Arabidopsis thaliana: one gene and its partners. The protein of the gene in region 4 interacts with the protein of the main gene of each other region in a pairwise test. Each region holds a gene or a part of one and is shown on either strand. Other genes may lie near its edges. The genes, in order: HVA22J, AT5G10290, AT2G28990 and PLC2.

What was found.
Region 1: the proteins of PLC2 (region 4) and HVA22J interact in a protein complementation assay, tested with the Arabidopsis thaliana proteins (one large-scale study listed by BioGRID).
Region 2: the proteins of PLC2 (region 4) and AT5G10290 interact in a protein complementation assay, tested with the Arabidopsis thaliana proteins (one large-scale study listed by BioGRID).
Region 3: the proteins of PLC2 (region 4) and AT2G28990 interact in a protein complementation assay, tested with the Arabidopsis thaliana proteins (one large-scale study listed by BioGRID).

The regions. Positions count from the first base shown.
Region 1 is NC_003071.7:15,122,047-15,128,133, forward strand, and holds HVA22J (HVA22-like protein J), read right to left. Parts: upstream 3,543-6,087; 5' UTR 3,417-3,542; intron 3,329-3,416; 5' UTR 3,209-3,328; intron 3,119-3,208; 5' UTR 3,095-3,118; coding exon 3,063-3,094; intron 2,974-3,062; coding exon 2,875-2,973; intron 2,449-2,874; coding exon 2,392-2,448; intron 2,285-2,391; coding exon 2,221-2,284; intron 2,118-2,220; coding exon 1,983-2,117; intron 1,874-1,982; coding exon 1,790-1,873; intron 1,684-1,789; coding exon 1,378-1,683; 3' UTR 1,074-1,377; downstream 1-1,073. Other genes in the region: E2F3 (E2F transcription factor 3), read left to right, coding at 1-41, 215-458, 585-654, 750-847; AT2G36026 (Ovate family protein), read left to right, coding at 5,219-5,770; AT2G36030 (uncharacterized protein), read right to left, coding at 5,513-5,725.
Region 2 is NC_003076.8:3,233,353-3,240,731, forward strand, and holds AT5G10290 (leucine-rich repeat transmembrane protein kinase family protein), read right to left. Parts: upstream 5,457-7,379; 5' UTR 5,199-5,456; intron 5,047-5,198; exon of another isoform or gene 4,848-5,046; 5' UTR 4,820-4,847; coding exon 4,729-4,819; intron 4,603-4,728; coding exon 4,470-4,602; intron 4,390-4,469; coding exon 4,318-4,389; intron 4,224-4,317; coding exon 4,080-4,223; intron 3,968-4,079; coding exon 3,896-3,967; intron 3,810-3,895; coding exon 3,744-3,809; intron 3,665-3,743; coding exon 3,594-3,664; intron 3,495-3,593; coding exon 3,354-3,494; intron 3,252-3,353; coding exon 2,515-3,251; intron 2,425-2,514; coding exon 2,110-2,424; 3' UTR 1,906-2,109; downstream 1-1,905. Other genes in the region: MYB92 (myb domain protein 92), read left to right, coding at 1-604; MES5 (methyl esterase 5), read left to right, coding at 6,332-6,694, 6,808-6,939, 7,091-7,372.
Region 3 is NC_003071.7:12,452,487-12,461,120, forward strand, and holds AT2G28990 (Leucine-rich repeat protein kinase family protein), read left to right. Parts: upstream 1-2,150; 5' UTR 2,151-2,568; coding exon 2,569-2,638; intron 2,639-2,753; coding exon 2,754-3,291; intron 3,292-3,889; coding exon 3,890-4,365; intron 4,366-4,496; coding exon 4,497-4,641; intron 4,642-4,719; coding exon 4,720-4,791; intron 4,792-4,885; coding exon 4,886-4,957; intron 4,958-5,036; coding exon 5,037-5,114; intron 5,115-5,331; coding exon 5,332-5,492; intron 5,493-5,579; coding exon 5,580-5,830; intron 5,831-5,913; coding exon 5,914-6,040; intron 6,041-6,155; coding exon 6,156-6,221; intron 6,222-6,374; coding exon 6,375-6,564; intron 6,565-6,646; coding exon 6,647-7,055; 3' UTR 7,056-7,219; downstream 7,220-8,634. Other genes in the region: AT2G29000 (Leucine-rich repeat protein kinase family protein), read left to right, coding at 8,295-8,379.
Region 4 is NC_003074.8:2,581,266-2,588,534, forward strand, and holds PLC2 (phospholipase C 2), read right to left. Parts: upstream 4,634-7,269; 5' UTR 4,292-4,633; coding exon 3,992-4,291; intron 3,484-3,991; coding exon 3,287-3,483; intron 3,199-3,286; coding exon 3,063-3,198; intron 2,977-3,062; coding exon 2,740-2,976; intron 2,660-2,739; coding exon 2,436-2,659; intron 2,348-2,435; coding exon 2,230-2,347; intron 2,087-2,229; coding exon 1,934-2,086; intron 1,852-1,933; coding exon 1,765-1,851; intron 1,655-1,764; coding exon 1,361-1,654; 3' UTR 1,097-1,360; downstream 1-1,096. Other genes in the region: AT3G08505 (zinc finger (CCCH-type/C3HC4-type RING finger) family protein), read right to left, coding at 1-480, 558-645, 768-778; AT3G08520 (Ribosomal protein L41 family), read left to right, coding at 4,767-4,778, 4,876-4,941; AT3G08530 (Clathrin, heavy chain), read right to left, coding at 5,906-6,061, 6,160-6,270, 6,384-6,506, 6,623-6,808, 6,911-7,081, 7,166-7,269. UniProt on the Arabidopsis thaliana protein: The production of the second messenger molecules diacylglycerol (DAG) and inositol 1,4,5-trisphosphate (IP3) is mediated by activated phosphatidylinositol-specific phospholipase C enzymes.

The DNA of each region.
Region 1 (6,087 bases), on a different chromosome or scaffold from region 4:
CTTAGAAGTACAATGGGACCTATTGACGTATACCTCGTCAGGTATTTATGCGTTGGCTTCAAATAATAGAAACATTGTTATTGGCATTTTCCGTGACTTCATATACTCTACTGATGATGGTATACATATAATTGAACGTATCAAAACAAAGATTTCTATGATTTGGAACATTCATTGTCCCGTTTACATGCTTTTACTTTGTCTTCATGTTCAGCGAATTTGAAGGGAAATTCGAAGACACAAATGGGAGTGGTGCAGCACCACCAGCATGCTTGCCTATTGCTTCTAGCTCAGGATCTACAGGACACCATGACATCGAAGCCTTAACTGTTGACAACCCAGAAACTGCTATTGTGTCTCATGATCATCCTCATCCTCAACCCGGCGATACCTCTGATCTTAATTATTTGCAAGAGCAAGTAGGAGGAATGCTTAAGATTACTCCCTCTGATGTTGAAGTAAGCCATCTTCCTGCTTATTTTTATAATGAACATAGAAATAGGAAGTTGTGCAGAGAAACTAATTAACCTGACTCAAAATCTACCCTCATAATTGTTGTTTGATATTGGTCTTGTATTTTGCAGAATGATGAGTCGGACTACTGGCTTCTCTCAAATGCTGAGATTAGCATGACGGATATTTGGAAAACTGACTGTATCCTTTGCATATATGCAATTTGTTTCTCTCTTATAGTTAACTATATCTATCTGCATAAGATATAAATACGCAATCCTTAACTCTAGCAAAAGCTGGTATCGATTGGGATTATGGAATAGCCGACGTGAGTACTCCACCACCAGGAATGGGCGAAATAGCACCAACAGCTGTTGACTCAACCCCGAGATGATCGAATACCAAGCACACTTCTCAACTTCTGATCCCAAATGTGTTACCTCACAACACTCCCTAAAATCATATACAAGGAGGGAGCAACTACAGAACGTGTATGAACCAATGGCAGGTGCGTTCCATACAATGTACCATTAGATTATGATTCATTTATCGCCTAGAGTGATGTTGTAGAGGAGCACCGAGAAACTAATGTAAGTTTAACAGAGAATGTACTTCATCGGCTGCATTGGTACACTATTTGATTATAATATTTTTGACCACTCAAATGCATCTTTATAATCAGCTATATGAAGAAATCCAAACTCAAATCAATATCCGGATTAAAGCGGGAAGTTTAAACGAAAACAAACACAAATATTCTCGCTGTATTAATACTTACTGCTTCAATTTACAGAAAACATGAAAAAAAAAAAAAAATCTGTTTTGTTTCAATTCAAAACTTTCATTCACTTTTCTTTCCCTATATATCTTTAAACAAACGAAAAGGGTTTCTTTGTCGAGTCACGTATATGTACGTTTGCGTTACTATGCCGCTGGCTGAGTTCTGGAGTTAGAACGTCGCAGCTTAGCTCGAGCATCAGTGAGGGGTGATCCCGGAATTGTATCAGGAATGTTGACTCCATCATCACCGTTAAATGTTCCGGCGGAGTCTCGGCCTGGTGTTGGTGGTGGTGTTGGTGGCGGCCACTTCCTCCCTCTGCTTGTTTGCTTCTCTAGCGATCGCAACGCAGATAGTGATTTGTTCAGCGGTCTTGGAGCGCGCGGTGATGGAGGATCATTGTCCATCTCCACCGGTGACTGCGCGTTCATGTTCACGTTCCTCTCCGTTGGCTTTAGCACAAACACAAAAATTCAAAAGTGCAAAAGGGAGGTAATAAACACAAGATTGTGTTTGCATTAGTACATAAAACGAAAATCAAAAGCGATAGAAAAGTACCGGTTGGTTAGCTGCAGCGGCAGAGAACCGGACCGATTGGGCGAGTACGTACTGAAAACCCTGGATCAAGGTGGATTGACCGGCCTGTGCATCAACATTATATGTATGTTGTTAATCTTATAATAATTTAGTCAAACCTTTAAAAAGAACAATTTGTATATATAAGTAATAGAAAGATAATTTAAAAAAGGACCTGGGCGAAGTTGTTGAAGTAAAAGATGAAAAAGTCCCAAGCTCGAGCTCGCAACTCCATGATCTTTCTGTCAATCTCTGTCTCGTGTTGAGCCATGTATGGCTTCAACAATGTTTCATACACATGTCTCGTTCCCTTCATTCATTATTTATTTCGTTATTATTATTTGTACATCACCATAAACCACTAATTAATTATGATCCAACTAATCACTTTTTAAAAGGAAAAATTATATTACCTTTGTTTTAGGGTACCAGAGATATACGAAGAAGACTACTTTCATCTCTCCGTATAACGGTAACCTGCAAATAATAATTGCATATATCAATTAATTATTTGATGATTGTTAATATTTTTTAAGACAGAGATGGATTAAGGCATGAATTAACTAATAATAAAACTTACTTACCATGAGATAAAAAAATCGCCAACCCTCTCGAATGATGAAATTAGCGCCAAAAGTATCCTAATTATTCAAATACAAATGTTTAACAAATTAATATTTTCGAGTACATATTGACAATAAACTATCATATTAGAATTACGTGCATCACATATATTGAGATATCTTTAAAATAAACCTAATACAATTGTCCCAGTAATCCCCAGACTAGGTATATAATCAACGTTCGAAACCAAAGACTTGTACAAAAGATGAGGTGTATTCATAAATGGTTTTTCTAGCAGAAGACATCAACTTAACGGAATTTTGATTTTTTTTCTCTTTTAAAATCAAACAAAAACCCATAACAGAGAAAAGTATATCACTATGATCGAACTAAAATCGATTTGCCTATCACTACAAATCTACTACATACACTACACATTATATATGAATGTTTAAAAGTATCGAGGATAGAAAAAAGGGGATCATATATAAATAATTCAATACCAGTATTGGCACCAAAATCTGAGTTCCTCGATATCAACTTTGTTCTTCTCCACCGTTTTAAAGCATTCGAATGCTGGGTATGTGTACCCTAATATCAATCTGCCATTCTCACCATTTCAATTATATATATACATCAATATACATGATTAATTAATCAAAAGAAAAAAAGAGATATGGTTAGGACATACACAAGGAGTCTGATGATGAAATCTCCCAACATCTTCGACCAGTTTAGACTTATCTCCTGTTACAATCATAACAAAACCGATTCAACAATCATATATATATCAGACGAATAGATCCATTTTTAAGCGTTTAACAAATGCAAATGAACCTAATGAAGAAGATCAAAGACGTTAGGAAGATCTCGTCCTCGTAAGAATTATTGAACGTATGAAGAAGAATATGAATGGAATTGGTGTTTTTTTCTTCAAGGAACCCAGAGGGATCAAAACTGCAAATGAGATCAAAACCATGTTTAATGGTTACAGAGTTTTATTATTAGAAGAGAAAAAAATATGTATAAGTTGTTATAAACAAACCTAAATTTATGGAGAGGGTGTCTCTCCGGGTTAAGCAAAGAAAAAATAAACAAAAACTTTGAATATCAAAGACAAAGAAAAAAAGAGGAAGATTATGAAGACGCGTAAGTTCTAAAATTGGAATACATCAGGGTTTAGTTTTTTTAGAAATATATAAACGTCAATAAACAAACAAAAAAATTACAAAAAGTAAACGGTTTCTTGCCACAAAAGCTACTTGAATTTGGGGGTAAGAGGAACGGGTTTACCGTTTGACCGTTTGACCGTTGTCTCATTATCCTCGTTATTTAACATTGTTCGACGCTTCATATGAATTTACAAAAAAAGTCCTTGAAGAATCAAATTAATTAAGTTTGACTGATTTTACACTAATAAATATATATTCTTCTGCTGTCCTTCAAAAAAAATACTAAATACGAAATTCTATAAACTACTAGAATATCTTTTGAAATCCATTAAAATCTCATCTAAACATCCTTTATTCAATGGATAATTTGAAGCAAACCTAGTCTTTTTTTTTTCCAAACAAACATAAACTCAAAATAATTCCGTTCCTTATTAATCCAAATTCTAAGTTTTTCACACATGAAAAAAATTGATCCTAAATGTATTATTTTTTGTGATTAACAATTTCCACACTTAAAATTTGTATAGAAAAATTAAAATTTGTATCTTTTTGCAACAAACTTTTTTTTGTAGAATTTGGAGTAATAAGGAATTGAGGAAGAAGTACTTAATAGTGCAGTGATCATAAGTGAGTTGTTACTTATGTTACTTATATTTTACACTAGGTAATCTCAAATCGAAAATCAGATTGATGGACAATATTATTACAACATTCTATGTCTACCAGGTTCCCATAAAAAAACTTCCACCTTTCATCGGCCTCTAAATATTAATCTATCAATAATTAAACATACTGTACGTTTTCTGTAAAGTTTTGTATTGTTTAACAGTAATGTTTATTTTTCTATTATATGTTGTAAAACAAAGTTTATACACCTTTCTAATGTACTTAGAGGAATAATAGTAATACTGGAAACAAAGAGTGGTCTGGATTTGTGTTGGAGGAGCTACGGCCTTTGGGTTTATATCCCTTGAGTGACAATTTATTTGAGTGTTGTAAAGGCGCTGTACAAAGCTCATGAAGGCCCAACACAAATCCATGTAAAACAAACTCTTATTGAGTACTTCTACAACTTCTCTTGTAATATTTGTTAACACCATGTGTAAATCCTAAAAAAATAATATATTCGAATTAAAATTTAAAACGTAGTTTAAAATAATTGTGTATGAAATGAATTAACGACCGTATAGTATAACTATTGAATGCAAATGACATACTAAAGATCATCTGACTTTTTGAAGAAAAAAAAGGTTAGATTTGACAAAAAGAAAAATATAGATCGTCCAACTAGAACCTAAATCGTAATGGGAAGGCTTAATTATATATGAAATACCATTATAGTTCATTATAGTCAACTTAAATAATAATCCTATATTCACATCTCATAATTTTCATAGATCAGTGGAGTAAGTATATGTCACATTAATGCTCATGAATGTAGACATTTACTAACATATTTTTAAAAGCTCACAAAAATTTAAAAGAAATTATAAACTGTCATTGAACATCAAATTAAATATTGTTGCTAAGAGTTTACTTCTCATTAATCCACCTCAGTCACCACATGCACCCTTTAATACCAATCCAAGTAGACTCACTCTCCCTCACACACTCTCTCTCTAAAATCTATTTCATCTTGGAGTAAGAGACAGAGAGACAAAGAAAGAGCAAAGCAATGACGACAGGCAAAAGCAAGAAGAAGAAGATGGTCCTTAAGGCAGTCTCTGTCGTAGACATCGGCTGTGGCAACTGTAAGTTCCCAAGCTTGTCTTCTTTTTTCAACCCTTCCCCCAAAAAGCCCCGCCTCTACTCCTCTAATTACGGCCACTGCCACTCCTCCACCCCCACCACGGCCTCCTCTTCCTCCGCCGTTCCCTCCACCTCCCACTGGTTCTCTGACACCTCTTCCTCCTCGGCAACACCCTCCGCCGCCGCTGTCGCCGTCGAGAAAGACTCAGACGATCCTTACCTAGATTTCCGACAGTCCATGCTTCAGATGATTCTCGAGAACGAGATTTACTCCAAAAACGATCTCAGAGAGCTTCTCCACTGCTTCCTCTCCCTTAACGAGCCATACCACCACGGCATCATCATCCGCGCTTTCTCCGAAATCTGGGACGGAGTTTTCTCCGCTGCCAAACGCCGTGGAGACGTCCAAGAGTCTCCACTCGTCCACCGTCATGGCTCACGTGCGTCACACCGTAACCACTACCACCGCTCGAAGTAACCTTTTTTAACTACGAATTATGCCACGTCACCAATAATGTATTGACACGTTAACTATCCATTTTACTACTACTGACGTGTCAATATATTATTGGGTTTGTGCTTTTTAACTTCTTATCTTAGCTTTGGGATTTTCTTCTTTGTCTTTTAACCAAGTGTAACGACAATGGTAGAATAATTATAATATGGTTGCTACTTGTTTCAATGTTGATTTTTGTAGTAATATTCGGCCAAAATCGATAAGAATAGAAGTTTTAAAGATCTTGTGACACTCGTGACTCTCATTAGGATGATGACGTGAAGGTTCCGGAAACAAGT
Region 2 (7,379 bases), on a different chromosome or scaffold from region 4:
CGGCTTATCTCAGCTCATGTCTTTGTCTTCTAACCTGAGAGGCTTTGTTGATCTGCAACAACAGTTTCCTATTGATCAAGAACACACTATACTCAAACTCCAAACCGAGATGGCCAAACTCCAATTGTTCCAATACCTTCTTCAACCGTCTTCCATGAGTAACAATGTTAACCCTAATGACTTTGACACTCTCAGTCTCCTTAACTCTATTGCCTCTTTCAAAGAGACCAGTAATAATACCACCAGCAACAATCTCGACCTCGGTTTCCTCGGCTCTTATCTTCAGGACTTCCACAGCTTACCTTCCCTGAAAACCCTAAATTCCAACATGGAACCATCATCTGTTTTCCCCCAGAATCTTGATGACAATCACTTCAAATTCTCCACTCAAAGAGAAAACCTACCCGTGTCTCCAATCTGGCTCTCGGATCCATCCAGCACAACTCCTGCTCATGTGAATGATGATCTGATTTTTAACCAATACGGTATTGAAGATGTCAATAGCAATATCACATCTTCAAGCGGTCAAGAATCAGGAGCTTCAGCTTCAGCTGCATGGCCTGATCATCTATTGGATGATTCTATATTTTCCGACATTCCTTAGCCTTCTTTTGTCTTTACTTTCAGGTATGTACTTTGGAGGAACTCAAATCAAATTTACTCTTGGAATTGTGCTTGTTGGAGATTTTTATTTGCCTATCTATATATATATAAATACTGTAGAGACATCATATATTTGTAACTCATGTTGTAGAATGTACAGTACAGAGATTTCATACTCATATGCATATGTTGTTGTCAATGTTCTTTAGCATATGTCTCTGTGCACAGAGTTTATATATATATAAGATTTTTGTGAAATGGATATCATTTGTAGTTGTAGTTGTAGTTGTATGGTATTTAATAATTAGGGTTTTTGCTGATTATTTGAATCTTTTGTTTTACACTTCCTTCCATGGTGATAAGTGATAACATTCGGATCATGTATGAATATAGATGTCATAACAAATAATAGACAAACTGTTATTATGTGAATGAAAACACACAAAAAAAATCAAAGAGCAGTTTGTGTATCTTTAAGCAGAAAATCAAACAAATTAAAGCTAGAGACTAGAGTTTAAATATGTTAACATATGAAAGACCACGTATTTTGCTCTAAAACAACACATATTAGAGCTTGAATGTTGAGTTGTTTCATTATATCATTGGTTAAGTCTAAATGTTGATTTGATTGCCAAGAAGATCGATCAAATAATGGAAGAAGTGAAGAAGCATGTGATCGGCTGGCTAACGATAATATAAAAAGGCCAAGTAGAGATTTAATAATAATTAAAAGACAAGGCCCTTTAAGTATGTGATGTCAGATAAAGTGATCTCTCATTAGGTTTTATAGAAAAATCACTCATTGAATCTATTTTATTATTATTAATTTTGTTATAATGTTGAATTGACACATAATCGAGGCTTGTAAAGATCTTGTGCAATTAGGGAATTTACTTCATCCGTATCCAAATGATAATGATGTATAGATTTTTTTTGTCAATGGATAATGTATATTATTATCCATTCTTCAATCTTAAATATTTTTGGATATTTTCGATCATGAACATAAAAATCTTTAAAATACATTGCTATTGTATCTAACACAATTTAGAGATGATTAAAAATATGTTAATTTTTTGTTCTTCTTGTTTTCTATTCAAATATGAAAACAACGATTTTTCAATAATAAATATTAATTTTCATGTCAGAGAATACAGAAATCTTTATTTTGTGATATAATTAAAAAAAAAAATCATAAATTGAGTTGGCAAAACTAGGACAACTTGGGACAGAAAACATGTATTTAAAAGCCCATATTAGGCCCATATAAACGACAACTTTGTAATAGGCCTGACAGTATAAGACGACAAAAAGGTTTCTTGCGGTCAACGAAAAAAGTCAACAAAACATCATAGTTCTTTTCATTCACAGAATTTATTAAAGTCAAAAGATACATCATGAAACAAAAACAAGATTTATACAACTGATTTTACTTCTTCACCGAAGAACAAAACAAAAAAGTGAAGTTGGCAACTTTACAGTAAACTCAAGGTTTGATGTTTTTGGTCATCTTCCACCAGATAATTCAATGGCATCTTGGTTATGCATAGAATCTTCACCCCAATCAAATCTCCTCTGCAACCGTTCAAACTCATGACGTCTCGTGACTTCCACGTTTTGCCACTCTTCCCATCTCTCCGCAAGCCCTTCTCCTTCTAACATCCTCACAACTTCAGACATCACTGGTCGGTCTTCTGGTGAACCTTGTGTACAAAGCAAAGCCACTTGTATCATCATCTCTACTTCTTCTTTTATATACTCTCCATCCAAATTCTTATCTACGATTGCTCCTAATCTCTTCTCTCTTTCCAGTTTCTTCACCTGTCCAAAACAAAAAAAAGATCCAAAAGATTACGGTCAATAAAGCTTGAGAGAAGCTACTTCGAGGTAGGATTATTTGATTATACATACGTGGTCAAGTAACAAGACATCATCTTCTTCCTCCAAACGTGAAAAGTCTATTGCGCGTTGTCCTGTAACAAGCTCAAGAAGCATAATTCCATACCCGAAAACATCGGTTCTCTCTGATGATTTCCCTGTTGATAAATATTCTGGTGCAATGTGACCCATTGTTCCTCGAACTTGAGTAGTCACATTAGTCCTTCTAACATCTACTAGCTTGGCTAAACCAAAATCACCAACCACTGCTTCAAAATCTTCATCTAGTAACACATTAGCTGCTTTCACATCACGATGTATGATCTTCGGATTGCAATGTTCATGAAGATACTCAAAACCACGCGCTGCTCCTAAGGCAATCCGTTTCCTCGTCTCCCAATCTAGAACCGGGTCGCCTGCTTTGATCTCTCTCAGACGATGTGCAAGACTTAGATTCTGCATGAAGGGATAAACCAAAAGGCGTTCTGTTTGTGTGGTGCAGAACCCGATAAGACGGAGTAGATTCCTATGAACAGCTACACTTATCATCTCTACTTCCCTTTGGAAAGCAGCATCTCCACCAGGACTTTCGAAATCCGTCAATCTCTTCACAGCAACTTTGGTGTTATCCGGAAGCACTCCTTTGTAAACTTTCCCAAAGCCTCCTTGACCAAGTACATTCTTTTCGCTGAAGTTATCTGTCGCTAACTGGAGCTCTCTCCATGCAAACCTTTTCAACTGTCCAAATGCAATTCTCCTGTCCACTTCACCTGAAAAATAGTAAAGTTCCACAAATCTGCATATCAATACATCATAACATACCGAAATACGAAATACGAAAGAAAGGTTTCCCTGTAGGGTATATTACAGACCTGCAACATCCACAAACACATCACGTCTATATCCTTTATGCCTATCCTTGCAGAACAGAAACAACAAGATTCCAAAGAGAACAACTGTAACTCCAGCAACAACTCCAGCAATAATGCCAGTTTTAGGCTTGCTTGAATCACCTATCACCGCAGATTAGATGTTTTCAGTCTTTCATACTTTTGAAATGGTTGAAAATAAAGAAAATGCGGTCAGAGCAATCGCAAAGTGAAGTAGTTTACCTGAATGGGCAACCGCGGATACACAAGGGTGAGGTTGACGACCGCCACAATTCAAGTTGTTTGACGTGAAACTATAGTCGATTAGAAACAGATCAAATTACTGCTAAAGAAATGAGCATGCTAGATTAAACTTGAAGTAGTCAAACATACTTATATTTTGGGATCTCAAACAGACTTTGAGGAATCTGACCACTGAGACTATTGGAATCAAGCAGCCTGTAAACATAGTTTCAAACAATGGAATTAAGACAAGGATGCTTCCAGAAAGATGGTAAGCATAAACACAAAGAACAGTAACTCACAGGTTTAACAGGTTTGGAAGACCAGTGAGTGACTCCGGAATAGTCCCATTAAGTTTGTTCCTACTCAAGGTCCTGTTTAGCCAACACACAAGTGAATAAAGACATGAGTAATCCTTTTCTACGTCTTAAAAATGTTTTAAAACATGTGCAAGATTTAACAGCATTGTGAGGCGGAACTACTTACAAGAACTGAAGTTTCTTGAGATTACCGATAGTGGATGGTATACGACCAGTTAGCTGATTGTCCTCCAAATCCAAACTAGTCAAGCTAGTCAGATTTCCAAAGTCTTCTGGTATTTCACCCGTAATTCCATTTCCCTTTAAAGTACTATATATAAAAAGAAGGTAGCGAAATGCTCACAACCTAATATCTATGTTCTAGGATTTCAGACAAAAAGAGAGACTCAATCTAAAGCACTTACAGAGTCTTGAGATTTTCTAGGATTCCTACTCTTGAAGACAAGGTTCCCGAGAAGTTCATATCTGACAATGTACTGCAATCACAAATGACATGAATATAAATCTTCTCACATGGAAACAACATTGACTAATTCAGAGTTGTCATTAAACTTACAGAGAAGTGACAAAGTTTTTGTCATCACAAATAACTTGGGACCAAGTGCAAGGATTAACTTGGTTCTGATTCCAGTCACTTAGCTGATTCGGTAATGCACGTAAGGAGATCCTCAACGCAAACAGTGCATCCCCTGAAAATGGAAAAGCAAAGAATCATAGAGTTAAATCTTCAACCTGAACAAGCTCAGAAATTACCAGAAACGAAACAAGAAATGAGAGCAACAAAATAGCAGTTGAAAAGTAAGAAAAGGCATCACCTTGAGCATCTGGAGACACAAATGAGCATAAACAGGCAAAAAACAAGAGAGTAAAAGCCATAGCCATCTTCTGCAAGCTGAACATTCTCATCTCATCTCATTAATTGAGCTGGTTCCATCTACAAAGACACATTTAATAACATTACAACAAAATCTTTTTCTTACTTACTTTTAGTGGATCTGACACATTACAGAGAAAGATTAATGGAGAGAATCTCTTCAACTATGAATCAAAGACTTTCTAAATTCAACCAAACTTAGCTAAAAATAGGTCTGGTAAAGAGAAATTAGGGATAAGAATAAATTCCACTATTGAAAGGTTGAGACTTTGCATAGAAAAAGAGTCAAACGGATGCAAGAACACGAACATGCTCAATTTCCCAGAAAGATTAGTGACCAATTTTGTCAGACTTGATAACAATTCCAAATCTCAAAAACAGAGCAAATAAAAGAAGGAAAGAACCTCGTACCCAAGGAGAAAATCCCAAAAGAAGGAAACAATTATCGCTGATCGAAAGATTCAGTGCGGAGAGTAGAACCAAAGACAACAAAACAGAAAAAAGAGAAAGTGAAAAGCTTCGATTTTCTTGTCTAGTGGTAGACTTTGCGTTTTTTGGCAATTTCGCAATTATCACTCTCGCTCGCTAATGGCCTTTGTCTGAAAGAAAAGTCCAATGTTGGTCCACGAACTGCTTTTTCTCCGTGCAACTTGTAATTTCCCTAAATAACTAATGAACTTTGATAATGATGTTTGGAACGATGTGCTATTTAATTACGTGGATGTAAAAGAAGACTAACTAAATTGTCTTTTTCTTTTTTCCCTCCTAAATCTACTTATCAACTCTCGTTGTTTTTTACCTGACAACCATTGTGTAAATTGAGGAATGATTTTCGACATCATTGACAATGAGGCTATAATACAGCTGACTGAAATGGCCAACTATACACCACTCACTAAGACGAAATGGCCAGCCTAAAAAAAGGAAGCGAATCTCCCTGTACAAAGGAAAAGTTAAAAATTGGTACCAAAAGGCAAAAGGAAAAGGTTAAAATGAGTCAATAAAAGAGAGTCACAGTCACAGTGTTTCACGGCCCATGGGCCGGCTAGACTCAAAGAAGGAAGGGAAGCTGTGAAGATTCTCAGATCAATATGAAGATTAGGTCGGTTAACACTTAACAGGCACGTGTTTATCGTGTTCAATTAGTTCCGTTAATTAAGCCTTTTTTACGTCCATCTAATCGCGGATGTCAAAATCTTACATGTGTTGGTCCGTTATTAGATTGAAACTGTGATGTACTCATATATTTTTTTAAATGTCCAAAAAAATTAATGTAATTTAGCTAAGTGTGATTACAGAATTCTGCTTTATTTATTTAAAATATATCTAAATACAAGTATACAAAAGTATACAACAGCCGACCGAGGAGACTAGTAAATCTGAACATGTGTCATAACATAAGAAGTTATTAACAGCGTAACGTATATGAACCTTATCCCACTATCACTATATAATAATAACGTCATACTCATATCCCAACTTTATCACGCTATTCTCAAACAAGCAAAGAACCTTAACCAAAAAGAAAACGTCTACGGAGACATATGGAGAGGAAACATCACTTCGTGTTAGTTCACAACGCTTATCATGGAGCCTGGATCTGGTACAAGCTCAAGCCCCTCCTTGAATCAGCCGGCCACCGCGTTACTGCTGTCGAACTCGCCGCCTCCGGGATCGACCCACGACCAATCCAGGCCGTTGAAACCGTCGACGAATACTCCAAACCGTTGATCGAAACCCTCAAATCTCTTCCAGAGAACGAAGAGGTAATTCTGGTTGGATTCAGCTTCGGAGGCATCAACATCGCTCTCGCCGCCGACATATTTCCGGCGAAGATTAAGGTTCTTGTGTTCCTCAACGCCTTCTTGCCCGACACAACCCACGTGCCTTCTCACGTTCTGGACAAGGTTAACAATAAAATAACAAAAATAATTTTGATACTAGTAGTTTTTTATAATTTGACCAACTTATCTTAATACCATGAAAATAATTCTTGGTTTGGTTGATGATAATAATAAAGTATATGGAGATGCCTGGAGGTTTGGGAGATTGTGAGTTTTCATCTCATGAAACAAGAAATGGGACGATGAGTTTATTGAAGATGGGACCAAAATTCATGAAGGCACGTCTTTACCAAAATTGTCCCATAGAGGTATTGTTCCCACAAATCTCTAAAATTTGTTACGCCAAAACAACAAAATCTATATTCAAACTATGTGCTAAAGTTTTCGAATATGAATCATCGTATGAGATGATTATTAATTAGTTTTGGTGTGTGGTTACATGATGGTTACACTGTGAAGGATTACGAGCTGGCAAAAATGTTGCATAGGCAAGGGTCATTTTTCACAGAGGATCTATCAAAGAAAGAAAAGTTTAGCGAGGAAGGATATGGTTCGGTGCAACGAGTTTACGTAATGAGTAGTGAAGACAAAGCCATCCCCTGCGATTTCATTCGTTGGATGATTGATAATTTCAACGTCTCGAAAGTCTACGAGATCGATGGCGGAGATCACATGGTGATGCTCTCCAAACCCCAAAAACTCTTTGACTCTCTCTCTGCTATTGCCACCGATTATATGTAATAATCTT
Region 3 (8,634 bases), on a different chromosome or scaffold from region 4:
AGGTCAGAAAAAGAGCAATATCTTACAATCTCCTGAAAATCTCTCATCCCTGGAGGAGTGTAGGGAGAGTTATCATAGTTTGAATGCTCTCCACCTTCAAGAATTTCATTGAAATCACCACAGAGAATCCATGGTTTGTTACGAATCAACGGCGAGTCGTGATGAGAGCGAATATCTTCCCACAAAATACGTCTCTCCTCCACAAAATTTGAAGCATAAATAAAAGAACAAAAGAATTCTTCTTCTTTACCTTCCAACAGAATCGAACATGTTATCATTTGACTACTCTTAAATACCGGAGTTAGTCGAGCATTGTCCCTCCAAACAACCCAAATGCGGCCTAACCGATGTGATTCATAATTAGTTATAGACGACCAACCACTAAAAATAGACGAAAGTAGTTCAGCTGATCTGCCCTCCTTGACTCTCGTCTCCAGAAGACAACCAAATTGCATAGAACTGTGATTCACCCAACTTTTGATAATGGAATGTTTAGAAGATTTATTTAGACCACGGACATTCCAAAAGAAACCCGACATAAAAATTATTTCTTTTTATGAGCCCTATGACCTGAAACACTAGGGTTACCCTTCGTGTTTTGATTCGCAGAGCTTTTGACCACCTTATGCTGAGACTTTGAGATTCGTGGGATGTACGGACGAGTCCCTTGAACACCAACTGAATCTGAATTATCATTTAATTGTTGGGAGAGAACAACAATTTCTCCTTCCTCATGACCGTTTGTGTCAGCCGTGTCCTCCTCCACTGCTAGGACATCAAAACGAGAAGGAGACGCATGATTAACTACTTCTTGAGGTTGAGGACTCCTCTGCCTGCCTACCTTAGCAGGCGATACCGTGTGCCAGGGACCTTCGTCCTTCAAATTTTCCTCGTTTTCCTCTGCAACTTCCTTTCCCTTATTCTGTAAAACAGTCGGATTCTTCATTGGAACTTTCTGAGTGTGAGAATCACCGTTTAGCGTTTTTGTCAAAGTAGCCGAAGGAGATTTCGATAGTATTTCGAGAGGTTTTTCTTTCATGAGAGGAGGCTCTGTTTTATCCTCTGTTTCTATCTCCGTTGGTGTGGATAGCTGATTGGGTGATGGACGCGTTAGACAAACCTCTTGTATATGTCCCCACTTAGAGCATGAAGAGCATCTCGGCGGCAACCAAGGATACTTATATTCGACCATTGCATCAACGCCAGTTTCAGATTTAAAGCGGAATTGTTTTGGCATTTCCTGTGTTAAATCTGCTTCTACAAATACCTTAGCTTCCTCAAAACTGTTGCACAGAACTGTGTCAGGGTGAAGCTTTTTTGGTTCCCCAATAGGACTTGCAAGAAAACTCAGACCCTTCCAAGTAAACATTGAGCGTGGAACATTTTTAATGGTGATCCACATTGGCATTGTTTTAATTTCTGGCTGAGCATCCTCAGCAACCGGGGACCATTTAGAAACGATCATAGGCATGTCAGCTATGTTCCACATTCCTCTGCGAAGAACCCTAGCTCGGACTGAACTCTCTCTGATTCGGAATTTGATTGTTTTAGTGTCTACCACATATGCGTCAATCTTTACCGTCTTGTCTCCAAGTGGCCAGATCTTGTTCACAATAACGTGAACTTTTGCAATATGCGGAGATATTTGTGGAAACCGCCCTATGAGCAAATCATCCCACAATGGTGTTGAATCTTCAAAGATTTCATTTGGGACTTGGACAATCGAATCACCGTTGACCATTGTTACGTTGAATTCATGCTTCGAAAGGGTTGGTCTATTCTGAACAATTGATGAGTATGATGGTTTGGTCGTTTCTGGGGAAGCTTCTGAACTTTTCGATGTGCTCTCCACCACCATCGCCGTCGACATGATGGGGGAAGACGGCGGAAAAGCCGCCAGATCTGCCAGATTGGGACACACGGTAGTGAAACCCTAAATCGCCTTCAAAATCGCCCTGCCACGTCAGCCCTAATTTTTTACCTTTGATTGATTGGTCTATGATTAGTTTGCCGCTGAAAAAATCAACAAAATATAATGTGTCAGTGAATAACATGATTTTTCTTTTTAATCAAAAAACATGATCTTTGTATACTAATTCTGAAACTTAATTATATATATTCGATCCAATCTAGTAAACTAGTTTATAGGACGGGATCCAAACGAAATACTTATCCACGAAAGAAACCTTTATATATCTTTGTGCTCGAAAGTTTTCTCATTCGTTATTTTGGTGGCTGACTACTAAATGAAGATATACCAAATGATTTTTCTTCACTCAAGCAATTTAAGCACATAGACAAAGTAAGATCATCTGGCGATAAACCATACATTCGTGGAGGAAATATTCCTACACATGACGAGTCTCCTGAACATATACAACTATTCAACACCAGATTGATTATTTCCACGATCATTATTTAATTTTCTACCCGGAGTTGACTTTTGTATATTTCATTCCAACTTATACATGAGGTATCTCTCAGTTCCATATCTTTTGCAGTTTTCCCTAAGCAAGTCTTTGTTTTTTCTTGAGTACTAGAGAAACCGGATAGTGATCGAGAGAGAACATGAAGATTCACCTTTTGTTGGCCATGATTGGAACCTTTGTCGTTATAATTGGAGCCCAGGATCAAGAAGGTAATGATATATACCATCTCTTTCTTGTTTATAAATCAATCCTTTGACTTGTGATATGTTATATAAGAATGTATCAATATCACTTTTCCCATTTATTGCTTTTATATTTGAACAGGTTTCATCAGTTTAGATTGTGGATTACCTAGTGACGAATCTCCTTACGATGATTCGTTTAACGGATTAACATTCACATCGGATTCCACTTTCATCCAAACAGGAAAAATTGATAGTGTCGATAAAGATCTTAACATAAACTTATCAAAACAATATTTGACTCTTAGATACTTCCCAGAAGGAAAACGTAATTGTTATAGTCTTGATGTCAAGCGTGGCACAACTTATCTCATCGTGGTTAGCTTTGTATATGGAAATTATGATGGTCTTAACCGTGATCCAAACTTCGATATCCATCTTGGTCCCAATAAGTGGAAAAGAATAGATTTGGATGGAGAGAAAGAAGGTACAAGAGAAGAGATCATACACAAAGCCAGGTCAAACTCTTTGGATATTTGTCTTGTTAAGACAGGAGAAACTTTGCCAATAATTTCAGCCATAGAAATACGGCCACTAAGGAATAATACGTATGTTACACAATCTGGTTCGCTGATGATGTCTTTCCGGGTTTATCTTAGCAATTCAGATGCATCTATAAGGTAAGTCAATCTATTTGAAGCATTCAATGTGACGTTTTTCTTTTGAATAAAATTTAACATTATTCTTTTAAAAAATGTGAGGTTTTTCTCTCTTTTTTTTTCTGGAGAAGATATGAATGAGGGGATATGTTGACTTTACTTGTGTTAAAAACATCATTGTTGAATGATGTGTTCAAAATTTTAAGACTCCAACGTAACTACATTATGCCAAAACTATATGGCAAGTCATTGTAACAATTGAACAAAGAACTAAGAACAACGAACTAGAAATAAAAGATACTAATATGAGCTAAGAAAACAAATTTTTTTTTTCTTTTTTTTGTTCACAATTAAAACTAAATTAATTAATTGAAAGAAAATAAGCAAGAACCAAACAACCAAATCAAACATACAAAAGACTAACATTATTGTAAATCAAACTAAACAAGCAACGATAAATGAAATTGAATGATTGAATTCATTATTAAAAAAACGAGCCAAGGTGATTGACTCGGATAGTTGCCAACTAACTTAGTTTTTGGTATCTTAGTTTCATAGACTAGTATTTGGCTAATACAATTTACTTATTAATTTATGTGGCTAATAAAATTTATTGTAGGTATGCTGATGACGTCCATGATCGTATTTGGTCTCCATTCAACGGATCTTCACATACACATATAACAACTGATCTCAATATAAACAACTCAAATGCATATGAGATTCCAAAAAATATACTCCAAACTGCTGCCATACCAAGAAACGCCAGTGCGCCGCTGATTATTACGTGGGATCCACTACCCATTAATGCGGAGGTATACTTGTACATGCACTTTGCGGAGATTCAAACCCTTGAAGCCAACGAGACGAGGCAGTTTGACGTTATCTTGAGAGGAAACTTTAATCATTCAGGATTTAGTCCAACCAAGTTAAAGGTATTTACATTATACACAGAAGAACCAATGAAATGTGGTTCAGAAGGTTGTTATTTACAGCTAGTAAAAACACCGAACTCAACTCTGCCACCTCTGATCAACGCTATTGAGGCATACAGTGTTATCGAGTTCTCACAATTGGAAACAAGTCTTAGTGATGGTACGTACCTCTCAGCTTTCAATATTACAGGAATGTAACTTATATTATAAAGTATAAGCTATGATATTGATTCTTACATTATATTATAAAGTATGATATTGATTGTTACGTTCTCTTAATAATTGTGTCAGTGGACGCTATCAAGAACATCAAAAATACTTATAAGCTGAATAAAATCACTTGGCAAGGAGATCCATGTCTCCCTCAAGATTTGTCGTGGGAAAGTATTAGATGCACCTACGTAGATGGCTCCACTTCACCAACAATCATTTCCTTGTAATGTCATTCACAAACTTACTCTTTAATTTAAAATTTAAATATCTAAATATTTTGTATGTGTTTTTGTATTATTAGAGATTTGTCGAAAAGTGGATTAAATGGGAGTATACCCCAAATTTTACAAAATTTCACGCAATTACAAGAACTGTAAGTATCTCTACTGTTGATCACCTGAACCAATAATGATTTATTTGGACAGAATATGTAAGACAATTTCTTTTGTTTGTGCATATAACCACAGGGACTTATCAAATAATAGCTTGACTGGACCGGTGCCTATCTTCCTTGCCAACATGAAAACGTTATCTTTAATGTAAGCTATCTAAAAAGCATAAATGAACATTTTGACCTGCGTATGTATGTATATATAATGGTTATCTTTGTCTCAACAGAAACTTAAGTGGGAACAATCTCAGTGGTTCAGTTCCTCAAGCTCTTCTTGACAAAGAAAAAGAAGGACTTGTGTTAAAGTAAGATTTCCTTTTCCATAGAGGGAATGCATTTACTAATCATATAGTAACAAAGTAGAGGAACTTCATTTTTGGAGACTATTTAACTGCTAGATCTTTCTTAATTAAGAGAGTTCATGTCGATTAAATTATCGCAAAATATGGTACCTGACAGTTCGATTATTGCCTTTCCTATGCAAGCTATTTACAATTTCAAAATATGTCATATTCATTGTAGACTTGAAGGAAATCCAGATTTGTGCAAATCCAGTTTTTGCAATACCGAAAAGAAAAATAAATTCTTGCTCCCGGTTATTGCATCAGCTGCCTCTTTGGTTATTGTAGTTGTGGTTGTGGCTCTTTTTTTTGTCTTCCGAAAGAAGAAGGCCAGCCCTTCAAGTAAGTTATGAGCCATTAATAATTTGTTTACCTGCTATAAAGCAATGCATATAGTTAGCATATAACCAAATATACTATCATATGTAGATCTACATGCTCCACCAAGTATGCCTGTATCGAATCCCGGGCACAATAGTCAATCAGAATCATCATTCACATCGAAAAAAATTAGGTTTACTTACTCTGAGGTTCAAGAAATGACAAATAACTTCGATAAAGCTCTCGGTGAAGGAGGATTTGGAGTCGTGTATCATGGTTTTGTTAATGTTATTGAACAAGTAGCAGTTAAATTGCTATCACAATCATCTTCTCAAGGCTATAAGCATTTCAAGGCAGAGGTACCCTTTTTCTAGTAATTCTCAATAGATATCCAATTGATTTGTATATCTCTAAGAGTGTTGGATGATGGATGATTGGTTAGGTGGAACTCCTTATGAGAGTTCACCATATAAATTTGGTGAGTCTTGTTGGGTATTGTGATGAAGGAGAACACTTGGCTCTTATTTATGAATACATGCCAAATGGAGACTTAAAGCAACATTTGTCAGGTAATATCACATATATAATTGTTTTCTTAATAAAACCTAACCATGATATAATTTTTTTTTCTGAATAATTAAAGATCATAACTAAATTGATATGAAGTGTGTTTAATTGATACAGGAAAGCATGGCGGATTCGTCCTGAGCTGGGAAAGTAGACTAAAAATAGTTTTGGATGCAGCACTAGGTATTCATTAAACTTTAAGACAAATGTTTAGTTAATAATTACAGCTTTTATGGGTATTAGTATGGCCTCGACCGGATCAGAAAGGAACCATATGATGATATCGAAATTAATCTCCATTTTCCAATAAACGATGGTATTAAATTTAATATGTAGGATTGGAGTATTTACATACTGGATGTGTACCACCAATGGTTCACAGAGATATCAAAACTACGAATATACTTCTAGATCAACATCTCCAAGCTAAATTAGCTGATTTTGGGCTTTCAAGATCTTTTCCCATCGGAAATGAGAAAAATGTGTCAACTGTTGTTGCTGGTACTCCTGGATATCTTGATCCTGAGTGAGTATAACTTCATATGTTAGTTCCAAAATCACCATTCCTTTTTTTTACTTTACAATCACAACAATTTCTTGTTTTGCAGGTATTATCAAACAAATTGGTTGACAGAAAAGAGTGATATATACAGTTTCGGAATTGTACTGTTAGAGATAATTTCAAACCGTCCTATAATCCAGCAATCCCGTGAAAAGCCTCACATAGTGGAATGGGTCAGTTTTATGATAACAAAAGGAGATCTTAGAAGTATTATGGATCCAAACCTCCACCAAGATTATGATATTGGTTCTGTCTGGAAGGCCATTGAATTAGCAATGTCATGTGTGAGTCTTTCTTCTGCAAGACGACCAAACATGTCTCGAGTTGTGAATGAATTAAAAGAATGTCTTATATCCGAAACCTCTAGGATAGGTGAGGGACGAGACATGGAATCAAAAGGTTCAATGGAATTCAGCAGAGACATTTATAATGAGGTAATACCTCAAGCTCGCTAGCTCGTCAAAATTTATTCTTGCTGGTTTTTCTTCTCATGAATATTCAAATTTGTGTGTTTCAAGAGTGTCTTTCGCCAATAATAACTAAGGCTTTCACTAATAACATGTAATACTGATGTTGAATTGTCGTAGTGTGATATATATTTTGTGAAATACATATGGTGAAATTTATTGAAATTATTTCATGAATTTGTAACCCACAACTAATTCTCGTCTTTGTTTCTATCTCAAGAAATGCATTAGGTTGTTCCCACTTTCGGTATTTTGAAAACCAAAGGAAGAGTTGAATATACCAAAACTTATGTATTTCCTTCAAAACTTAAGAGCTGTTTATATTTCCTTCAAAAGAAGATAAATAAAGAAGATATAAATGGTCTAATAAACCAAAAGTTGGTCAAAATTTAGTCTAAATATAAAACATGAACGTAATAGAACTTGTTTACAAGCGTATATCTCGTTGATCCTGAGTTTAATAAGATGTATAATAGTAAATGTTACGAAGAACTCCAATAATGAAATATCACAAGACAGATTTATCTTGTGGAGAGGGTTCATCATGTAAATGTTTTTTTTTTTTTCACCATGTAAAGTTGGTAATTCTTGTTGTATATTGTTTTAACGAAGACACACTTCGACCTAGTCTAGTACACAACCAGTGGAGATTTAAAACAACATCTATCATTCAAATTGGACAAAGAAATAACCGAATCCAAGGAACCTTGCATTGGATTTAGGATTTATGACAAAAATTCTTCGCAAAATGTTTCCACGCCAACCTCTCTATAAATAAAGGGCCACAAGAACATGCATGAGTGAGAAAAATACATTTTCGAGGCGGGAAAGATAGACTAAATTTTAATTTTAATTGTAATTCATAGCTTGAAATTTTAAAATTATACAGCTACTTGGCTCCTTTATCAAACAACGTGCAAAAGTATAGTGATTTTAAGACCACGATTTTTTGTGCCACTAGAGACGTGCTTGCATCTTTAGAAATGGACATTTTAATTTTATGGGAGAACTTTCCACAACCCTAACTGTTGAATATATGTTCTAAATGCTAATTTTATCCAAGTTTGCCTCTTTTATTTATTTTTGTATCCTTTTAAACTCTTTTTATTCGTTCATATATGTTTCCTTTCCGGCTGCTACATTTCAAGAGGTCGAGCAGACCATAACTCTATCATTTATCTTAGTTAATTCATATACATAGGAACCTTGGTAGCTTCATCTTTCAAAATGGAGGGTCATCGAGGATTATTGTTGGCACTGATAGTCAACATTTTTTCCATTGTACACCTTGTTCATGCTCAGAATCCGGAAGGTAGTGTATCGATTCATTGTAGACTTTATACATGAAATTCTGTTTACATCAGAAAATCCACATTTCAGATCTCAAATTTCTAATACTTTCTCTCTCTTTCTAGGCTTGTATACATACAATTCTGTTTACATCATTTATCTTTCAGAAAATCAATTTTTCAGATCTCAAATTTCTAATACTTTTTTGCTCTTTCCCTTGAGGCTTGTGGCCTGTCGTGTCAATTTTGATTCCTTTAAACAAAAACAAAAAAAAACT
Region 4 (7,269 bases):
CTCAGTCAACAGCCCAAACTTCCTTTCCCCTGGAGTAGCCTTTGACAAGATACGATCCAAACACACACTACACTCAATATCTTGACTTTGTTTCAAAGCCTCAATGTGCTTCTGCTTCTTCTCACATTCTTTCGTATGCTCTTCTCGTTCCTCGGGTCTAAAAGGATGCAAACACTTCTTGCCACAAGTATTGCAGAGGTCACCATGCATATGTGGACACTGGTTACCTCGAGGGCAATCACCAGCTGCAGCAAAAGAGCAGATCGGGTACTCTCTAGGGTGGATACAGTAAACGTTAGAGGATTTGTCACCGTCATTATTATCGCCTTGTTGTTGCAAATGCCTAGAGGGGGTGGTGGATATAGAGCGATCTAAAGACTCAGAATCTGAGCTAAGAGGAAGATTGGAAGCAGCTCTGACATGATCGTATCTACATCTACTTCCGTACAAACATATTCGTTTCTGATAGAATGTGCAAACCTAATTTATACAACCAAGAGTCAAATATTTGGGACTGATGAATCAAAAGAAGGAAACTTGAGAAGAGATTAGATTACATTATTGGGCGGATCCTTAGAGTCATGGGAAAATTCGCAATTTTCGCCTTTCAAGCACGAGCCATGGACAAAGAACTTGCACAGTATCCTACAAAAAAGAAATCAAATGAATCATCGTCCCCAGAAACGAAAGAATCAATCTTTATCACCAATCAAAGAGACACAAAATTGAAGAGTTTGATGAATCGAGAAGTTGGGGGATTACGATACCTATCGGACATTTGGGGATTTGTGCGGAGAGAAGAAAAAAAAGGGTGGAAGAATGGAGAAGGAAGAGAGAGCTTTATGTGAAGAAATTGAATTTGTACGGTTTTCAATTGTTGAGGACCAAGCAGACCCCAACGTTTTTGAGATAGAGCGCGCTTCCTCCACCTCCACCACCACCTCTCTCTTTCATTTACTAAAATATCCTTTCTCTTTTCTTTTTGGCCAATTTTGTTTTATGGGGTGTGATTGGTTATGTTTATGGAAATTCGATCAGTTTTATGTGATACATAAGAAAATTCTTTGAAGCCTTCTTGGTGGAATGGAATCAAACAAGTTTTAAAACACACTTGTTACACAAAAACCACAAATCATCATACGATTCAAGTGTTACACGAGACTACTACATAATAATACAACAACACACGATACAAGACCGTCTCTCTCTCTCTCACTTTCGTCTTTTATGTACATAATATTACAAACAACAAATCAAGCATACATTCTCTCTCACACATACAAATCCTCCAAATTCACAAACTCTGTGGCACTCAAACCTACCAGACAAGTTTAAATGCTGTATCTTTCTTAATCATGTCTCACACAAACTCCACCTTCACGAGAAGCTTAACGGATTTGTACTTCTCTCCTTTCCGGCTATGTAAAGGAAATGCTCTTATTCCTTCGCTTAGCTCCCAAACCGGTAAGCATGTCTGTCCTCCAAAATCATCTTTCTCTGACATGTCATACTCATGCACTTCTAATCGTAGCAGGGCCAGCTCTGGAACGGTTAATGGGAACTCAAACACCTCATCCCAAGCTGGTATCCAATTATCCTCCAGTGTTTTCGTCTTCTTCATTACTGTATCCCCTGGAACTCCAGCTATCCCAACCTGAATATGCATCAAAAGCTCAAATTGTTATATTGCAAGCATAAGAGACAAGAAACAGTTCTATCTCAAAACATTTGTGTGAGGTTTAAGGCAGGGAATCAAAAATTGACCCTTGTATAGAAGTCAGGCGGTGAATATTGGTCAAAGTGTGTGTGGCGGAAATCAAAGTACCAGCCTTCTCCCATGTATACAGTTACCTAAGGGAAAGAATAAGTTCACTGAGTTTGATCGGATTTGAATTGGTAAAAGAAAGACCAACCAGAGAATCAGATATCTCACCCTAAGTGTTGTTTTCACAGGTAGAGTAGCTTTTGGGTCAAATATGTCACTATCCGAACCACTTTTCAGCAGAAGGTCAGGTTTCTTGATGTAGCCACATCCGCCATTGGCTCTAAACATTCCCTGCATTAGCCACAATGATCTTCCATACCCCTGTACATGGAAAAAGATCACAATCAAATCAGCTGAGGAATAAGGTTGATGTCCTGTAAAATGATGGAACATAGCTCCTCCAAAATAACTAGAAGTTTTACTACTACGTAGAAAGAAGTTGGTAATATAGCAGAAGGAGATACCTGCATATTGAAAGCCACCATTTGAGCACCGTGGCTCCAGCCAACCAACGGGTTGTAATTTGATGATGTGACTCTAGTTCCTTTTGGGTATATCCTCAGCAAATTGTGCTGAGTAAACCTGCGCCACACCATGATTAACAGGATTCATATTGAGTTGACAAACTGCAACTATTACTTAGAAACATAAAAACATAATATGACTATACCTCACAATCTGCTTCGCATATTTTTCTGCTGCCTTTTCAAGTTGTTCTTCGCTTAAGCTAAGGCGTCTAACCTTGTCAGGATCTACCTTTAAACACTCAGTAATTCCGCCTTTTGGTTTCCCAGCATGGATTGCAATCAAATGTTTATACTGGGGTGGTGCATTAATCTTAGACTTGTCTTCATCATCATCATCGTCATCATCATCATTTCCATCTAAGTCATCCTGCAACAAGAAAGAAAACTAACATGTTTGTCCATGAACAGCAACAGAACAGAATGAAAATGATTTGTCTTCGTACACACCTTAGCTTCACTTTTGTTCCTCTGAATAAAGCTCGGAACTTCTCTTCCCCAAACTTCTTCATCCCCCAAGTCTTTACCTTTCTGCACCACTTCCACATCTTTTCCTTCCTTGTACTCTTTTGGGGGTTTGGTTGAGATGATAATACGTCTTTTTAAAGAGTTTGGCGATGGGAACTCCTTCAAAGATTCTCCCACAGGAGGAGTAAACAGAATTTCCCCAAATATCTCAGTAACCATCTATCATACAACAAGAAAACACATCTCAAAACCAATGTACTCATCTATTAAAGCAGCAAAGAAAGAAATGCAAAATAAAAAGCTACCTCAGCAACTTTAGACTGAAGATCTGGAGTAAGATGATCTTCAAGAGTTACAACAACAGGATAGTCAGATACATCAAAGGCATGTGCTCTGATAGCTTTGAGACATTTGATCAACCCCACAGGTGTAGTGAGAGTCCTGTTTAAGAATGGTTCAGTAAACAAGTTAAACGCCAAGCACCTAACCTTGACTTGTTTTTCGAAATAAATTTGAAGCAAAATTATACATTCCGTGAAGAACATCAATATCGTCTTTGTTGGAATTGGGCCATATATCCAATTCAATGACTCTAACACCTTTCTTCAACGCATCAATAATAGGTACCTCACTACAGTCACTGCTCAGCTGATTACCAGTCAGATAAGAATTATGACCAGTGAATATGAAATAATGCGATATAGGAGCATCCATGTCATGATGCACCTGAAACACCACAAATTCATTAGAGATAAGTCTATAATCAATCTGAAAATAAAAGCTAGCACAATTGAGTCACAATTACATGTATAGCCGGAATTGTAAAAATATTAATTACTTGTATCATGGATTTTTGTGTCAGAGTTCCTAATAGAGTAAATGTCACATTCCTAGATATGTTACTTTCTCAACTTTTTTTTTTTTTTTGAGACATAAAAAGAAAAACAATTCTATTGCTTCAAATTCTTGAATCAGACTTATTCCACAACACCTAAAAAGTACATAGCTCCTACGACTTTCTACCAAACAGCAGCTTCGAAGTTCGAACTCTTGATTAGACTCAGTGAAACATTCAAACAAATTATTCCAAAAATCTCACTTCCTCACACCATTTCCTCAATTACCAAACAAGGAAAACGAAAAATCCCAATCCAAAATCTGAGTTTCTTATATCAATCAATCATAGTTTACTTCAGATTCTGAACTCATAAAATCGAAATAACACGAAAATTACCTTATGGAGAGCAAGAGGAGGGTTATTATCACCAAAGAGGTACTTGAAGAAAGCATCAAGATGGAGACCATTACGATGAAGAAGAGAAGATGCAGAATTGATAATTGACTGTGCATCTTCTCTGGTGGCTTTATCTTGTTTCTGAACATCGATCAGAAACCTGTGGAGATGATCAACGGTCATAACTCCATTCTCTGAGTACTTTTCGAAAATGGTCTTGATCTCACGCGGTGCCTCCGATGCAGTGTAACGAAACCTCCGGCGAAAGCAGAAACACACTTTGTACGTTTGCTTCGACATGAAGTAAAGAAAAAGACGGATCTTTGGGTAATGATTGGAGACGATGATGAAGGAATGAAGTAGGGTTTGTGTGTTATATAATCAGAACTATCTTCTCATTGTTTTTGAAATCAGACAAGCGAGATCAGAATCGTCGTTTTGCGTGTCGCATCTGCAAAGACAAAGAGATTTTTTTCCTTTCTTTCTAGTGAATCTCCTCCATGTAATGTTTAATCGATCTTGAACCTTGTCGGAAAAAGATCTTCTTTCTCTCTCTGTGCGAATATCCCCTCTGGCAAATTCTTATCCATTTGGGTTTTATTGGGCTTTTGAAATAATAAAGCCCATTAAGTTAGTTACTAGGGTTTTGTTGTTGTTTAAAGGAGGAATAAGAGCGTAAGCTACAAAATCTTTCTATTCATCTCCGCCGCTCCTCATCCTGTAAAGCTAAACAAATAATCAGAGGAACGAAGGAGACAGCTTCTGCGAAATCAGCATGAGAGCCAAGGTTAGTAATGGGTTTTGATTGTTTAATGGATTTTTTAGTGATGAGAAATTGAAGTAGTGTGTAGGATCTTTATGGTTTGTGTGTTTGTGTGTTGCAGTGGAAGAAGAAGCGTATGAGGAGATTGAAGAGGAAGAGACGAAAGATGAGACAGCGATCTAAGTAGATTCGGGAGTTTGTTTTGTCTTTCTTCTTTTTAGAACCAACTCTTATGTGAGTTTTGTTGGTTTTGCAATTTTCAATTTGAATGTTTTGTTGGACCAAATCGAATCTATGTTTTCTATTAGAATTATGTTTATTACATGGAATGATCCTTATGAGTTACTGATTCTCCTTAAAGTTCTTCAATCTGCTTATCATTTTGGTTTAATTGATTATCTATAGTTAGTGTCTGCGCTGGATGAGTTTTATCCTGGTGAAGGTTGAACTTTTGATATTAGAAATACCAAGTGAATTTGTATGTCATCTAAGTATACTAATAAAAACAAAGTATGTTGGGTTGATTGAATCTTTCTATCCAGAACGTTTTCTTAGTAATGTAGCAGAAATGTGTGTTTACGGAGGGATGCAATTTTTAGTTCATGATGTTCAGATGACTATTGGTACTTAGGTTTTTATGTGTACATGTGAAATAAACCTACCCTAAGATTTCATTATTATTTCATGAAAATGAGATTCACGTTGCATCTATGTCTTTCTGATGCTGATGAATGATGATGATTGTTCTGAGGTCAACCAAATTCTCATGAAGGATTTATTTAGTCCTTCTCGATATTAATTGTTTCATATATGAATAACAACAAGGTGAAACTGATCAACGGTTTAATAAATCGAAAGTCGAATGGAATGAAATGCTGAAGGAAAGTACAACTACAAAACTCATATGAGTAAGAGAGTTGAGTATATATACTCAAAAATGGCTTTTGACAAAAAGTTAAAAAAAAATTACTCACCTAAACCCAACAGAATATTACAACGAAAGGAGGTTATTATCCACATTATTCCCAGACAAATTCTGGTCAGACATATAAGCTAGCTAGCAGATGAACACCGCCCTAGCAAATTGGGCCGACTCTATGCGCTACTGATACTTTTCCAAATGCGGATATTAAAGCATAAGCTGGTCTGCTTTAGTAGCCGCCCATCGGTGGCATTCCATATGGTGGCATGGGAGGCATTCCTGGCATACCGCCCATTTGTGGTGGAGGACCATACCCACCACCACCTCCCATTCCTGGCATCGGTGGTGCAGGTAAAGCAAGTGGCAACATTTGGGCATACATGTTCTGTTTAAAAACAAAAGAAAAACATATTACTCCTTTAAGTGTATCTGTCAAGATAAAGAGTCGGATGATATCCAGTGTAGCTGTGTCATAAGTAGTACCTGTTGGGATATGACATCCTTCTCTTCCTGCTCTTTGGCCTTCACCTCTTTTTGTGCCTCAAGCTTGTCCTTTATTAGCTCATCCACTTTGCCAGAGTACTCTCGGATAAACTGCAAAGAAAAAACGACAGGAAGAAGAGAATTCATCATAGCGTTCAAATAATGGTTCCAACCTCATTGAGCAGAGAATCAAAAGAGTTTATTTGAGGGTTAGGATAGATCACCTGGAGGAGATACGGGAAGGCAAAGTCCATCATATTGTTGATCCAGGCAAGTTCTAGAGCCACGTCTGGTCGGATTAAGTCATAACATACAAAGAGACATGTAGCAAAGCATTCCTTTTTGCCCTGTATAACAGCAGAAGACACGGGATACTACGTTCAACGTCTGGACCAATTCTTTTCAACTAACCAAACTGAATGGCTAGCACTAGCATCTCGTAAATGTTTAACCATCATCATACCTGTTCAATGAAATACACCAGTAGTTGTTCTGCAAGTTCATGTTCGCCTGATTGTGAAGCCGTTTCCATACAGTCCTTGTACATGTTGTCTTTCTTTGATAATGCAATTGATTGCTTCCATCTGCCCGCTTTCTTGTAGATATAAGCAGCCACACGTCTCATTTCAACAAGTTCGTGTTTCTCGATCTGTTCGCACCATTCACAGGAAGATTATATCATCTCTAAGGCCATTCTTTTTCCATTTTTAAAGAGAGAAAATATTAAAGGGGTAGTATATTTGAACTTTACCTTCTGAGCGAGGCCAATCTGGTCAAAGCTGTCATGTAAATCAATAGACTCTCGCAACCTATCGTAGTCTTCTTCTTCCACGTATATCTCATTCAGAGCCTCATTAACAGCAGAGACATTGTTGCTCTGAACTGCAATCATGTATGGCTTGATAAGACGCAAGTGACCAGCCTGAGATCAGAAGAAACCAATTGTTAAGTAATGTAGCTCAGTTGTTTTTATAGAAAAAAACAAAGTCATCAGTCAGCTTCTAACCTTCCGCATTATATCAACAACACGAGTATGGTCTAACCGCAACGCAAGTACGTTGAGAAGATCGTTGATTATATCCGGATGCTCTTGCAAGTAGAAGTGCACAG